Linked DNA regions of Oryctolagus cuniculus. The protein of the gene in region 1 purifies or fractionates together with the protein of each later gene. This does not show direct contact. Links are inferred from orthologs where the notes say so. Each region holds a gene or a part of one and is shown in the gene's direction. Other genes may lie near its edges.

Region 1 (3,510 bases):
TTTGGGTTTGATCTGGCCGAACCTTGTCTGTTGTGGCCATTTGGGAAGCAAGCCAGTAGATGGAAGATCTTTCTTTCTCTCCACCTCTCTTTCCCTCCCTTTCAAGTAAATAAATAAATCTTTTAAAATATTAATAAAATTAAGATGAAACTAAAATTCCTATCTATAGAATTTCAGTTTTTTAAATATGAAGATATATGTATTTCCCTTTGTAAACTGATTTTAGGCAACACACACTTTAGAAATACTTTAGCATATTTTGATTTAGGGAAGTGATTATGCTACCTCTTTAATTATCATCACTTGAATTGAAAACAATGATTCTAAGAAAAATTATCACAACTGCTAAAATATTTAGTGTAATAGAATTTCCCATCATTTGGTCAGTGTTTAGATTAATGTTGGTATCCTAATTGATTTTTAAAACACCTAAAATTATATTTTAAAATTTGTATTTACTCTTCTGACACACCCAGTATTTTGGATCTGAAGTTAAAACTGAAACTGTAGGAAACGTCATAGCCACTGAGTTTGTTTTTATATATATACCACAAGGAAACCTTCAGATCACTATAATTCTAGTACCTATATTATTGAAGGCCTATATTATTCAGAGATGGAATTAAACTGTTTTTAAATGAATAGGGTGTATATCCTTCTGCCATTTGTAGAGATTTTTTTCTTAAAACTTTTTTCTCGATTTTTATTTATTTTATTTTATTTAAAAGGCAGAGGGACACATTTGAGAGACATCTTCCCTCTGCGCATTCACTCTCCAGATTTGTCTGCAATAGCCAAGACTGGGCCAGGCAGAAGCCAGCAGCCAGAACTCCTCCCAGGGTGCATGTTGATAAGGAAGGTAGAATAGCCAGCGCTCAAACCAGGCACTCTGATATGGAATGTGGCCTTCCCAAGTCGTGCCTTAACTGCCACACCAAATGCCCACTTCTTTCTGAAACGTTTTAGTGAGAACTGGGCTACTGGCTGGGCTTGAGATTCTGTTTTCTGTTAAGATCATAGAATGACAGTTAATAATCCATGTTACTAGTGTAAGGGAAGAATCATACATCCATTCTCTGTAGTTCCCTGTTTCTAAAGCACACATCTGACTGTGACCTTTTTTTTTTTTTTTTTGAATCCTTGGGGTGAGTATTTGGCTTACCAGCTTAGAGGCAGGTTACGATGACCACATCTTCCCTGCTCAGCTTCAACTCCTCACCCCAACTTCCTGCTAATGCAGACCTTGGGAGGCAGCTGGTGATGGCTATTCATGTGGGAGACCTGAATTAAGTTCCCAGCTCCTGGCTTTGGCCCAGCCCAGGCCTAGTGTGGCAGGCATTTGGGAGTTAACCAGCAGATGGGAGTGTGCATGCTCTTGCTTTCCCTCTGCTTCCCAAATAAAGAGTACATATATAAATAAAGTAATCCTTGATGGTTACTCTGTTGCCGACTAGTTGATTTTTATGCATTCCTTAAACTGTAAACACTGTTCTAACTTGCCTTGGAGTTGACTCTTGCTAGTGATGTCTTATCCCCCCTCTCTCTTTTATTCTGAGGTCCTCAAGATCAGCTTAGACATTCCCTTTTATGAAACCTTTACCTTTTCCTTGTTAATCTCCTTTTTTTTTATTCTGAAAGTACTTTGGGCACATAGTTCACATAGCTTCTGTATATAATTCATTAGTATATTTTTTTCTTCTCTCTCCTGAAGTTGTTAGTCTCTCAGCACCATTTGCAGTTTTTTGTGGTTGTTGCTGTTGTCCTCAGAGCCTGGTCAAATGTCTGTAATGTAGTGACAGCTGTTCAGCGAACGTTTATTCAGTGAGTAGGGCTTCAGGGGGTGGAATTCTGCAGGGAGTAGTTCCTATTCAAGAAATGTAAGCTTTCTTCTGGACTACCTGTATGCTTCCCCTGTGGGTTGGAGTAAATTATTTACAAATCTGTACATTCAGATATTCTGTAATAGACTGGGTGTCTGATGTGGTCTCCATACTCGGCAGTGGAAATAGACTGATGACTAGCACCAGGCCACTGTCTCAGATTAGGGCAGGCAAAAATAAAAACAAACCACATCCAAGACCTTTTGGTACATGGCCTCGTTGTGTGCAAATGGTCTCGGGGCAAATGTGTGTTTTCTTGAATCTGTTTGAGGCTTTTGAAGCTCTCCAAAATGTGGCAGAAGCATTAGAGTAAACCAGTGGTTACAGTATACAAAATGAGGTTGGCAGTGGGGCAAGGCCAGTGCATTGAGCGATTTAGGGAAGAAATATGGAGTCGTGAGCTTCTAACTTTGACCAATAGTAAAAGCTTGTTTAAAAGCTTAGTTTTTGTTTTGTAACTTTTATTAAGTTAAATAGCCACTTAAGTGTCCAAGCTGTGTGGAAAGTTTAAAATTCCCATTCATGTTCAAAGACCATTAAGAAGAATAACAATTGCCTTGCTTTTATACTTCCCCATAAGATTTTCTGCAACTAGTAGAACTCATAATTTTAGTCAACCCAAGTGATATCTTTGTGCTACTAGCTTAGGAAAGTGTTCTGATTGTGAAAGTAATGTTTCAGGATATTTACCGTACTGGTATATAAATCTGGGAAGCTTCATTGAGCTTAAAGGAAAAGTATCTGTCTTGGCTCATGTTTTTCTCTAGAGATTTTCCTTGTCTTGTGTTTTGTTTCTTCTTGCTCTTATGCTGTGGTGTTTTGGTGTTCCCCTCCCCCTCCAAACAGAAGCAGGGAGATCAAGCTACAGGCATTCTTATCTAATCGGCAGTTATTTACCTATTTTTGGGCCAGTCCAGAAAGGAATTCTAGTTCTTTATTTTGGGTTAATTTCTCCTTGGCTTAAGTTCACTACATGAGAGCTAGGAATTTAACGTGAGACTAGTACAGGCCTGTCTCACCACCCACCTGGAGTTTGTATTTTGACCTCTCTGCCTGTGCACACACCTGCGGAATTGAAACCTTGAAACGAGTTAAGTGGACCCCCGCCCACCCAATGCAAATGGTATTAGAGAAATAAAAACTCTACAGAGAATTTTATGTCAGCTAGGAAGACTAAATGGATGTAACTTTTTTCAGTTGTTGCCATCAATCAATTGCACAACCTTAAGAGAGCTCTTGGTCCTCTAGAGCTACCAGCTTTAATTAGTACTGTATATTTCACTTCATAGTATAGGGTCTGTGACCATGAAGGAAGATACTTGTTTCAGCTGTTACAGGGCAAGATTGTCACTAATCCCCTGAGAATCCTGTTGGTACTCAGCAAGTGTTTATTTTTATCTTAGATTTCTTAAATGTTACTATCAGTCTTTAACTATTTATTTATTTATTTATTTATTTTGGTAGCGGTACCTATCACTCTCGAGATGAGAGTACAGACAGTGGACTGAGCATGAGCAGCTACAGTGTCCCTCGAACCCCGGATGACTTCTTGAACAGTGTTGATGAAATGGATACAGGTTGGTATTCCTTATTTTAGTTACCTGACCTCTACTCAGAGATAATCATAGTA
Region 2 (4,239 bases), about 140 Mb from region 1:
GGCCTCCACACTTCCTCAGGATTCTCCCGGAGGACCCTAACAGACTGGGGTCACTTCCGGCTCCTCCAAGCTAGAACGGCAGAACCAGACTGGAGCCAGCCATGACTCTGGGGGGCTCAACTACGTCACAGCCAGAGGGATCTCGGAGTTGAATCAACATTCAGGGGCGACCCTTAGGCGCCTGGCCGCCCTCACAGTCATCACTCCATGGGACCCTCACCAGGGCCCTGCTGATGGTGGAGAAACACGCTCAGCAGGTTCTGGGATGTGGGTCTGCAGCCTGGAACCCTGGGCTTCCACGACCTGATGCTCAGGGGTTTGCCACCTGCTTGGCGCTGGGGTCCTGGACCAGGAGTTGGTGCCCACTGCCCGCAGGGGCCCTGCCCAGTACCTGCAAATATCCGTGCCGGGGGCAGCCACCCGCCAGGAAGCAAGCACCAGGCTGGTAGGGATCCAGGCTCGGCCAGCCACCTGCTGTGTCACCGTGGCTCACGGCTTCCTCACCTGCGGAGCCTGAGCGATAATGTCACCGACACCGGCTTCCCAGTGAGTTCACACACCTGAGGCCCCCACACGGCCGCTACCTGCACACAGCGAACGCTCCACGGCCACAAAGCGCCGCCCGTCCCGCACACACGGAGCCAGGGCCGAGGGCTAGGGGAGCAGACGCGGCTGGGGAAGCGGCGGAGGCCAGAGGTCTCCGCCCACAGGGGTGCGGGCTGCCAGCCGCAGGGGTGGCCCGCCCAGGCCCTCCGGTCAAACCCACCAGTCTGCCGGCACCGGGCAGGGTCTGCCGCAGCCTGCCCGCCCCGCTCCCCATCTCCTCCCAGCTCAGCCCCGACGCCGCTCCCTCATCTGCTGGCGTCCAGCCCGGGGGCGAGGGCCACACCCATCCTCCCCTCGGCTGCGGTCACCGGGCCGGGTGGGTGGACAGGCGGGTCACCCCCGGGCTTAGCAGTGGCTGCGGCTCCTCCGGGGCAGGAGCTGGGACCGAAACCCAAAAGCTCCAAAAGTCCTGCAGAGCAGGAGTGACAAGTCCGGGACGCCGGGCTCGCACGAGCAAGAGTTGCACCTGGCTTAGGTCTGCTGAGCGGACCCACACACCACGAAGGGGTTAGGAGGAGTCCCGGGTCCCGGGACGGGGGCGCGGACCGCCCAGGGGAGGGGCAGGTCTCTGGATTTCGGTGACAGGGACCCCGGGGTGACCCTCACGATACGAGAGCACAGCAAACAGCGAGGCCCGGGATCTCGGGAGCAGCCTGTCGTCTCTGCCTCCCCGTTGGCGAACTGCCCCGAACCCCGCTTCCGAATCCTTTACCCCGGCTCACCGCGATGCCCCCGGCTCTCCAGCAGTCAGCCGCAGGAGCCTGCCCACAAGAAACATGGCGGCAAGGGCGTCGCCAGGCGGAGCCAGGATTTTTTAGGCGGAGCCAGGAGCTCTCGCGAGAGCCGCATTTTCCTGCTTATATCCGGTGCGGTCGGCGGGACTTCCGGCCTTTCGGTATTCGGCTCGGAGGAGGCCAAGGTGCAACTCTCTTCGGTCGTCCCGAATCCGGGTTCATCCGACACCAGGCGCCTCCACCATGCCACCCAAGTTCGATCCCAACGAGATCAAAGTCGGTGCGTGCTCTCGCTGCGAGCGGGGCTGCGGGGTGCAGGCTGCCCGCGCCCCGCCGCGCTCCTTTCCCGTGCGCGAAGCTGCGCGTCCCGGGCCTCGGCTTTCCCACGTGTAGATGGGGAGGGAGGAGCGGACGACCCTGGCGGCTTTGCAGCCCGCACGCCTTAGGGTAAGGCTTGTCTTCGGGGGTCTCTGCGCCCCTCGTGTGGGTTCCGGGCGGCCTCCGCTGCGGCGCCCGAGCGAGGAGCGTGTGTCCGGCCTTGATCCCCGGGAGCTCCTGGTGCTGTGTCGGGGAGAGGCGACGGCCGGGTGGGCAGCCCGGAGAGGCGCGGCCCCTCCACTGAGGCCCCGGCTTTCCTCCCCCTCCCCCCAGTATACCTGCGGTGCACCGGCGGCGAGGTCGGCGCCACGTCTGCCCTGGCCCCCAAGATCGGCCCCCTGGGCCTGGTGAGTACTTGGTGCGCGGCCGGAGCCGAGCGGCGGACCCGCAGTGGGCAGCGCGTGGCGGGCTCGCGGGGGCCGTGGCCGGCTCCACTCTGTACCGCGTTCATGCCGTGGGGCACCCGAGCGTCGCTCCTGCCACTAGGGGCCATCTTGCCGTGGCCAGCTGGGGCCCAGCCTCCGCAAACGGGTTCGGGCTGCGCGCGTGCCGCCTCGGTGCAGGGGCCCTTCGAGGCGTGGCCGCACCGGAGCCTGGTGCTACCTGGGGTATGGGGCGCAGGTGCAGCTGCCCTGGCGCTGGCGGAGGGAGGTGGCGGTACTGCGCAGGTTTGGGGGCTGCGGCCCAGCTCGGGCACAGGCTGATTACCCGCCCATATCTCTACAGTCTCCCAAAAAGGTTGGCGATGACATTGCCAAGGCCACCGGCGACTGGAAGGGGCTGCGGATCACAGTGAAACTGACCATCCAGAACCGGCAGGCCCAGGTATTTCCGCCTGTGTTGTCGGCCCCCAGGCTGGGCTGGGCTGGGCATGCTCTGGGAGCCCACGTGGGTGGCCGCGTCGCCACGCTCACCGGCGTGGGGTCCAGTGGGGTCGGGCTCTTTCACACAAGACTCTGTCCTGCAGATCGAGGTGGTGCCTTCGGCCTCGGCCCTCATCATCAAAGCCCTCAAGGAACCGCCCCGGGACCGGAAGAAGCAGAAGAACAGTGAGTGCCTTGTGTAGGGGTCTGTGACCAGCGGCGGCTCTGGGTGTCCCCTGTGTGACAGTGTGGGAGGTGACGGGTTAGCTAGTGTGGGGCAGGTCCTGCTTCCCGTGCGTGCGGGGGGTGGAGGGTGAGTCCTCTGGACGCCTAACTGGCCCCAGCCCGGCTTCCGGCGGAGGCTCGGTTGTGTCCCAGCCACCCGCCACTGCGCCTGCCCATGCTGCTGGCTGGCGCAATCCAGTGGTGAGCTGAGAGGAAGCCCCGGCTTAGGAAACAGGGTTGTCCTCCACGTGGATGACTCTGTGCCGAAAGCACGGGAACAGCCTGCCACGGCTGGCGGGGCCTTGTGAGGTTTCACAGGCGGCCGCCTCTGACCGAGCTTCCCCTGGTCCTTCCTGCAGTCAAACACAGCGGCAACATCACCTTCGATGAGATCGTCAACATTGCCCGGCAGATGCGCCACCGGTCCCTCGCCAGAGAACTCTCCGGTAAGCGCAGGGCGTGGAGCCGGCTCCCGGGTCCGCCCCGGGGTGATCCAGGACTTGGGGCGTGTTCTGCAGAAATGCGTGGTGCTGAGTGGGGTATTTAACCTGGGCGCAGGGGGAGTGTGGAGACCTTGTGTAAGGGCTTTGTAACCAGGTGGGATTCCAGACTCCAAGGGGAGTGGGGAGTCCCGAGAGAGGACCAAGCCTTCCCTGAAGCCACTGCTCTCTCAGGGACCATTAAGGAGATCCTGGGGACCGCCCAGTCTGTGGGCTGCAACGTGGACGGCCGCCACCCTCACGACATCATCGACGACATCAACAGTGGTGCCGTGGAGTGCCCGGCTGTAAGTGCCTGCGGGTGACACGGGGTGGGGGGATGGCCAGTGGTACTCCGTGTAAAAGTGGGGTGGGGTACAGCTGATGTATTGCCAGGCTGGAGTGGCTGGTGGTCTCAGACCCGCTTTCTTCCTCACAGAGCTAAGAAGCACAGAGGAATCTTGGAATAAAGGATCATCTGACAAGTGGCTTTCTGCTGTGGCGTCTTCTTGGGGGAACTGGCTCCCTTACTGGGCGGGAGCGGGCCAAGTGCAGAACCTAATTAGCAACTCCTGTGGGCCCTCAAAGAAAGCCTTGACTCTGTGGATGTCTCCACCCACCTCCGATTGATGGGTGGCTGGGGCCCAGGACCCACCACTGCTGTGCAGCCAAGCTTCAGAGCCGTGCCTAGGCGACCTCTGCTGCCTGCCCCAGCTCTGCTTTTCCCGCACTGTGTGAAAGGGGCTCCTGGTCCTAAGTGGGATTGGAGACGATTTCCCCTAAGAATTTGTTCCCCACACTGACCCCTAATCTGCTCCTGTCGGTCTGAAGTTACCCCTGGATGGAGGTACTGAGCTCCAGCAGCAGGTGGAGGTGCGGCAATGTGGAAGGCACATGGTTGAGGGCCCAGCTGGCTTAGAGAAGGCCAGCGATGGGGGCTGTGGTCCAGGCCTG
Region 3 (4,193 bases), on another chromosome or scaffold:
AACACTCATTCTGTAGGATAGAACCGATATTGGCCGCTATGCTTCTCCAGTCAGCCTGAAGGTCACGTAGCTAGGATAGCTTTCCAGGTGTCCTAAAGGGCATGGACCACACCCGGGAGCTGTTTACCTGATTGGCAATTGCAGGGCCCTTTCACAGGGGTGGTGTGTGTGTGTGCTCGTGTGCATGCATGTGTGCGTGTAAAAATGCCTGGGGCTCCTGCCACCTGCCAGCAGTCCGATTGTAGGGTCCTTCCTGGGAGGCGTGGTGTACCATGCCTGCTCATGATCCTGCATGGGCAGGGCAGGCAGACCTCCCGCCAGGTATGGTATCACCCACATCCATCCTAGAAATGTAAGCTCCACAAAGAAAGGGGCTGGGTCTGTCATGTTCACCAACGAAGCCCCATTTTTTGAGATGACGTCGGTACACAGTTATGTGTTGACAAAATGTTGAACGAACGAATGCATAAAGGAGTTTACAATAGAGTTTTCTTCTGTGGGTGAAACAGCATTTTCCTGATCTAATTATTTTTGGGGGTAAATTCTGATATATTGCACCAGCCTCATTTTGTGTTTTTTTTTTTTTTTCCTCCTAAGATAGACCCAGTTTCCAAAATAAAATCCTATTGTCCCTTTAAGAGCCAAAGAAAATACTTCTATACTTTACGTGCTGAGTGGCTACTGCAGTCCACCACTGAAGGGCTTTCTAAAGCACCTGTTTGACCTTCAGAGCACAGGGCTTACATCCCAGGGTTAGCAGTAGCAGGCTGCGCTTTTTGGGCTCCTAAGAACCCAGAACTTCCTGAGCCTAATTCCATCCGGCCTGGACTGGCTGATTGTTGGGGGAGAAAAGGTTTCTCGAGAGAAGTGTGGGCGACAGCTTAGGAGGACCTTGAAATTCTGCTTTGGTCTGTATGCTGCTGCTTGGTGCACTCTGGCTCGGCGCCTGTGGGTCACAATCTCTCACAGACGCTAGATACATGAAACTGGGGGATGTCCAGTCCCCAGAACCACAGTCAGGGGAGGGCTCTTGAATCCTCTGACACCTTTTCCCAGTATCTGGGCTACAGGTGAGGCGCTGTCGCCATCTTGATAGAAATGCTAGGCAAGCCGCACTGGCGTCGCTCGGTAACCACGGAGACGCCCACGCCCCCTCCCGCTTCGCATCCGTAAGGACTGTAAACTACCTTTCCCATCAGCCGATTTGCTGTACTTGACGGCGAGTTGTCTAGATCTGCCTCGTCTGCAATCGCGACCCGGCCGCAGTGAACGGCGGGAGTTGCGGTTCACGGCATGGCCTCACTTTTTGCTGCGGGAAGCTCCGGGACTACAAATCCCGTGAGCCAGCGGTCTTACGCATGCGTGCGGAACAGCTGGTCCTCCTCGGCCCCCCTTCTCGTGCCTGAAAGGTAAGAGAGGGCGGGGGGAAGGAAGAGGAGGCGGGATCCGGGAGCTGCGTTGGCTGCGGCCTGGCACCAAAGGGGCGGCCCCCGAGGAGAGCAGACCGGGTGGCCCCGGCGACTATGGACCCGGCCGAGGCGGTGCTGCAGGAGAAAGCGCTGAAGTTTATGGTAAGGAGACCGTGCAGGCCGAGGAACCATGGAGGCGGGGGCGTTGGCGGCGTCGCTGAGCTCCGGCCTGGGCCGCCCGCCCACTGCGGGAGGGGGTTGGCGAGACCCTGGGCCGAGGCCAGCGGCGGGGGCGGCTTAGAGGGACTGGAGCGGAGCTCGGGGGAGGAGGCTGGGGGGTGCGGAGGGGATCCAGAGGTGGGGGGCAGCAGCTCCGCCATCTTGTGGATGAGGAGCCAAGTGACAGCGGGAGCTTAATCGAGGAGGGGTCTCCTGGCGGCGCGCGGGGCCCGGGAGGGAAAGGGGCGTGGGGACAGTTACCGAAGAGCTGAGCAAGCCGGGTGGAGAGACGCCGTGAGGCCGTTGGTAGGGCCTTCCCAGTGTCGGGGTTACGGGTAAGGCCCCGGAGAGGAGGTGCATCCCCGAGTTGGGAAGGGGAGCACGGGACTGTAGGAGCACAGACGTTGGGGGTAGGGTGGGAGCGAGCAGGGCCGATGCGGCTGGGCTGAGGGCTTGCAGATGGGTGAGGGGCTTGTAGTTTTGTAGAAAGAGGGGGAAGATAGCCTTTGCCTTGAGGGTGAATCCCCTCTTAGCCAAACTACTGTTGACAAACTCTGGAAGAGGAGATAAGGACAAGGAATAGGAACCCGTGGTGACAGTCCGTGGGCGAGGAGGGGGTTGTTGACTGTGAAACAGTTGTCAGGAAAAGGGATCTATACCTGGTTTGTAAGGAGAGGTTAAGTACTTGTGTATGAGGTGATGAAAAGCAAGAGGCAGATTGCCAGAGAGACATGGGGACAAGGGGTTGGGGCAAAATTAATGTCTAATAGAGTGAAACAGAACTTGAAGCTTCAAGTGGGAGGCAGTGAAGTGTGGGATCCACGGGCTGTATCATGGGCTGGGAAAGGCAAGCCGTGGAAATTATGGTTGTAGAGACCCATGACAAGTGATGAGGTCGGTGGAGAAATTCAAGAGAGGAAAAGGGAAGGCGAGGGATGTAGCTAATGAGATAAATTGGGATTGGTGGGGGGCGCCCCTCAGTTTTAAGTTTGTTGAGCATAGCAGGGGCATGTGGTTGGATTGTGGGTGTGTAAACTCCTTAGAGCCTTTTTACTTTGTATCCCACTTCTCTATCAGCATGCTTATGTTGGGCAAACTTGTATAATCTGAGATTTGATGCTTTTAATCTGATGCTTCTTGTGTATCCTAGGTGCAAAACAAGACTTTGTGGCTTTTACTTAACAGGTGGCTTTAGGGACATTGATATTATTTGCAGTCAAGTCTTGCTTTTCAGACCTAATTGTGATCTGCCACTCCAAATCTTATTCCTTTGTTAAAAAGTTATTTTGTATCTTTGCCTAAAATACCATAGCAGATTAAATACTAACCTAATTGAATTTAGGCTTAAATTTCTCCATTTATAAGAATATTTTTCAGAAAATTATATTTATAATTTTCTGTTAGTACTTTCAAAAACATCTAATTAAAGTTCAGGTGTATCATGAACAGAATTCCATTGAACCAGAAGGTTCTTGAATTTATGCCCAATGTTAAAATTCTAAAATATGAAGAAGAGACCTTGCTTTTTCTTTTCTTTTGGAAGTGAAAGTTACTTTATCTCTACAGCCAGATCCTAGATTCACGTCAGAAAAGTGGCAACTTCTTATTTTTGCTTGCCTAGTTAGAAGGAGGGTTGACTCTTAATCCTAATCCTGACGAAATCCTGAGTTGTGTCAGATTTATGGAATAATGTGATTTACAGATCATAAAGAGACATTATGAGATCATCTTTTTTTAACTCCTCCTTAAACCTCAGCATGGGAACATTCTCAAGTGCTTGATCTTTGCTTCGTATCAGTGAGTTATGTCTCTGTGATGGCTTCCTGATTGAGTTAAAGCCAGGCCATGTAGTGGTTTGCCACTTTTGGGACGCCATGCATTATTAAATGTTAAGTCAGTTTCCATAGGGAGAAGTCAAATTTTTCTTTAATTTTAGTTAGTTTCATTTTTGACTACCTATCATTATGGCTGCTGTTTGAGAAATGGCCAGTTGGAAGAGAGTCACCAAGAGTGATGACACCTTAAGAAGAAGAGCAGAGAATGGAGAGTTAGAGGTTTGGAATTCTCTTCCAGCTCTGTAACAGCCTTATTATGAATCTGAGTAAGTCACAACTTCCCTTTGGTCCCATTTACCTTTCTGTAGTATTCCTAGTTTATTTAGAGTCAATTTGTGATAGAAAGATTAAAAAAAATTATTTGAGAAGCAGAGGTGAGAGGGGGAGGGGGCAGAGCAAGGGAGAAAGCCTGAGACCACCCATCTTGTAATTCATGCACTGAATGCTGGGAACTCAGTCCAGCTCTTCCACGTGGGTGGCAGCAACCCAGTTGTTTGGGCCATCACCACTGCCGCCGGGGTCTGCATTAATAGGAAGCTGGAATCCAGGTACTGAACCCAGATACTCTGCCATGGATGGCTAAACCACGAGGCTAAATGCCCAGCTCCTAGGAAGATGTTGTGTTTAAATTTGCTTCAAGTAAATAGTGTATAGCACACATGGAGGAGCTGTCCTTTATTACATCACATTGAAATGTTTGTCTTTGTATGCAGCTTTATTCTGGCCTTTT

The links. Proteins that work in one complex are often made in the same cells at the same time.
Region 2: the proteins of YAP1 (region 1) and RPL12 purify together in Homo sapiens (affinity purification with mass spectrometry, with the first as the bait; 3 studies listed by BioGRID). This does not show direct contact. The link is inferred for Oryctolagus cuniculus from reciprocal best matches to the Homo sapiens genes YAP1 and RPL12.
Region 3: the proteins of YAP1 (region 1) and BTRC purify together in Homo sapiens (affinity purification with western blotting; 16 studies listed by BioGRID and IntAct, counting the BioPlex papers as one, with this or other methods). This does not show direct contact. The link is inferred for Oryctolagus cuniculus from reciprocal best matches to the Homo sapiens genes YAP1 and BTRC.

What each region holds. Positions count from the first base shown.
Region 1 is NC_091432.1:93,682,746-93,686,255, forward strand, and holds part of YAP1 (transcriptional coactivator YAP1), read left to right. Parts: intron 1-3,344; coding exon 3,345-3,457; intron 3,458-3,510. UniProt on the Homo sapiens protein: Transcriptional regulator with dual roles as a coactivator and corepressor. Critical downstream regulatory target in the Hippo signaling pathway, crucial for organ size control and tumor suppression by restricting proliferation and promoting apoptosis.
Region 2 is NC_091432.1:230,974,593-230,978,831, reverse strand, and holds RPL12 (large ribosomal subunit protein uL11), read left to right. Parts: upstream 1-1,439; 5' UTR 1,440-1,583; coding exon 1,584-1,620; intron 1,621-1,991; coding exon 1,992-2,065; intron 2,066-2,444; coding exon 2,445-2,543; intron 2,544-2,685; coding exon 2,686-2,767; intron 2,768-2,962; exon of another isoform or gene 2,963-3,089; intron 3,090-3,165; coding exon 3,166-3,252; intron 3,253-3,480; coding exon 3,481-3,593; intron 3,594-3,724; coding exon 3,725-3,730; 3' UTR 3,731-3,775; downstream 3,776-4,239.
Region 3 is NC_091446.1:28,581,399-28,585,591, reverse strand, and holds the start of BTRC (F-box/WD repeat-containing protein 1A), read left to right. Parts: upstream 1-1,393; 5' UTR 1,394-1,523; coding exon 1,524-1,571; intron 1,572-1,839; exon of another isoform or gene 1,840-1,963; intron 1,964-3,589; exon of another isoform or gene 3,590-3,729; intron 3,730-4,193. UniProt on the Homo sapiens protein: Substrate recognition component of a SCF (SKP1-CUL1-F-box protein) E3 ubiquitin-protein ligase complex which mediates the ubiquitination and subsequent proteasomal degradation of target proteins. Recognizes and binds to phosphorylated target proteins.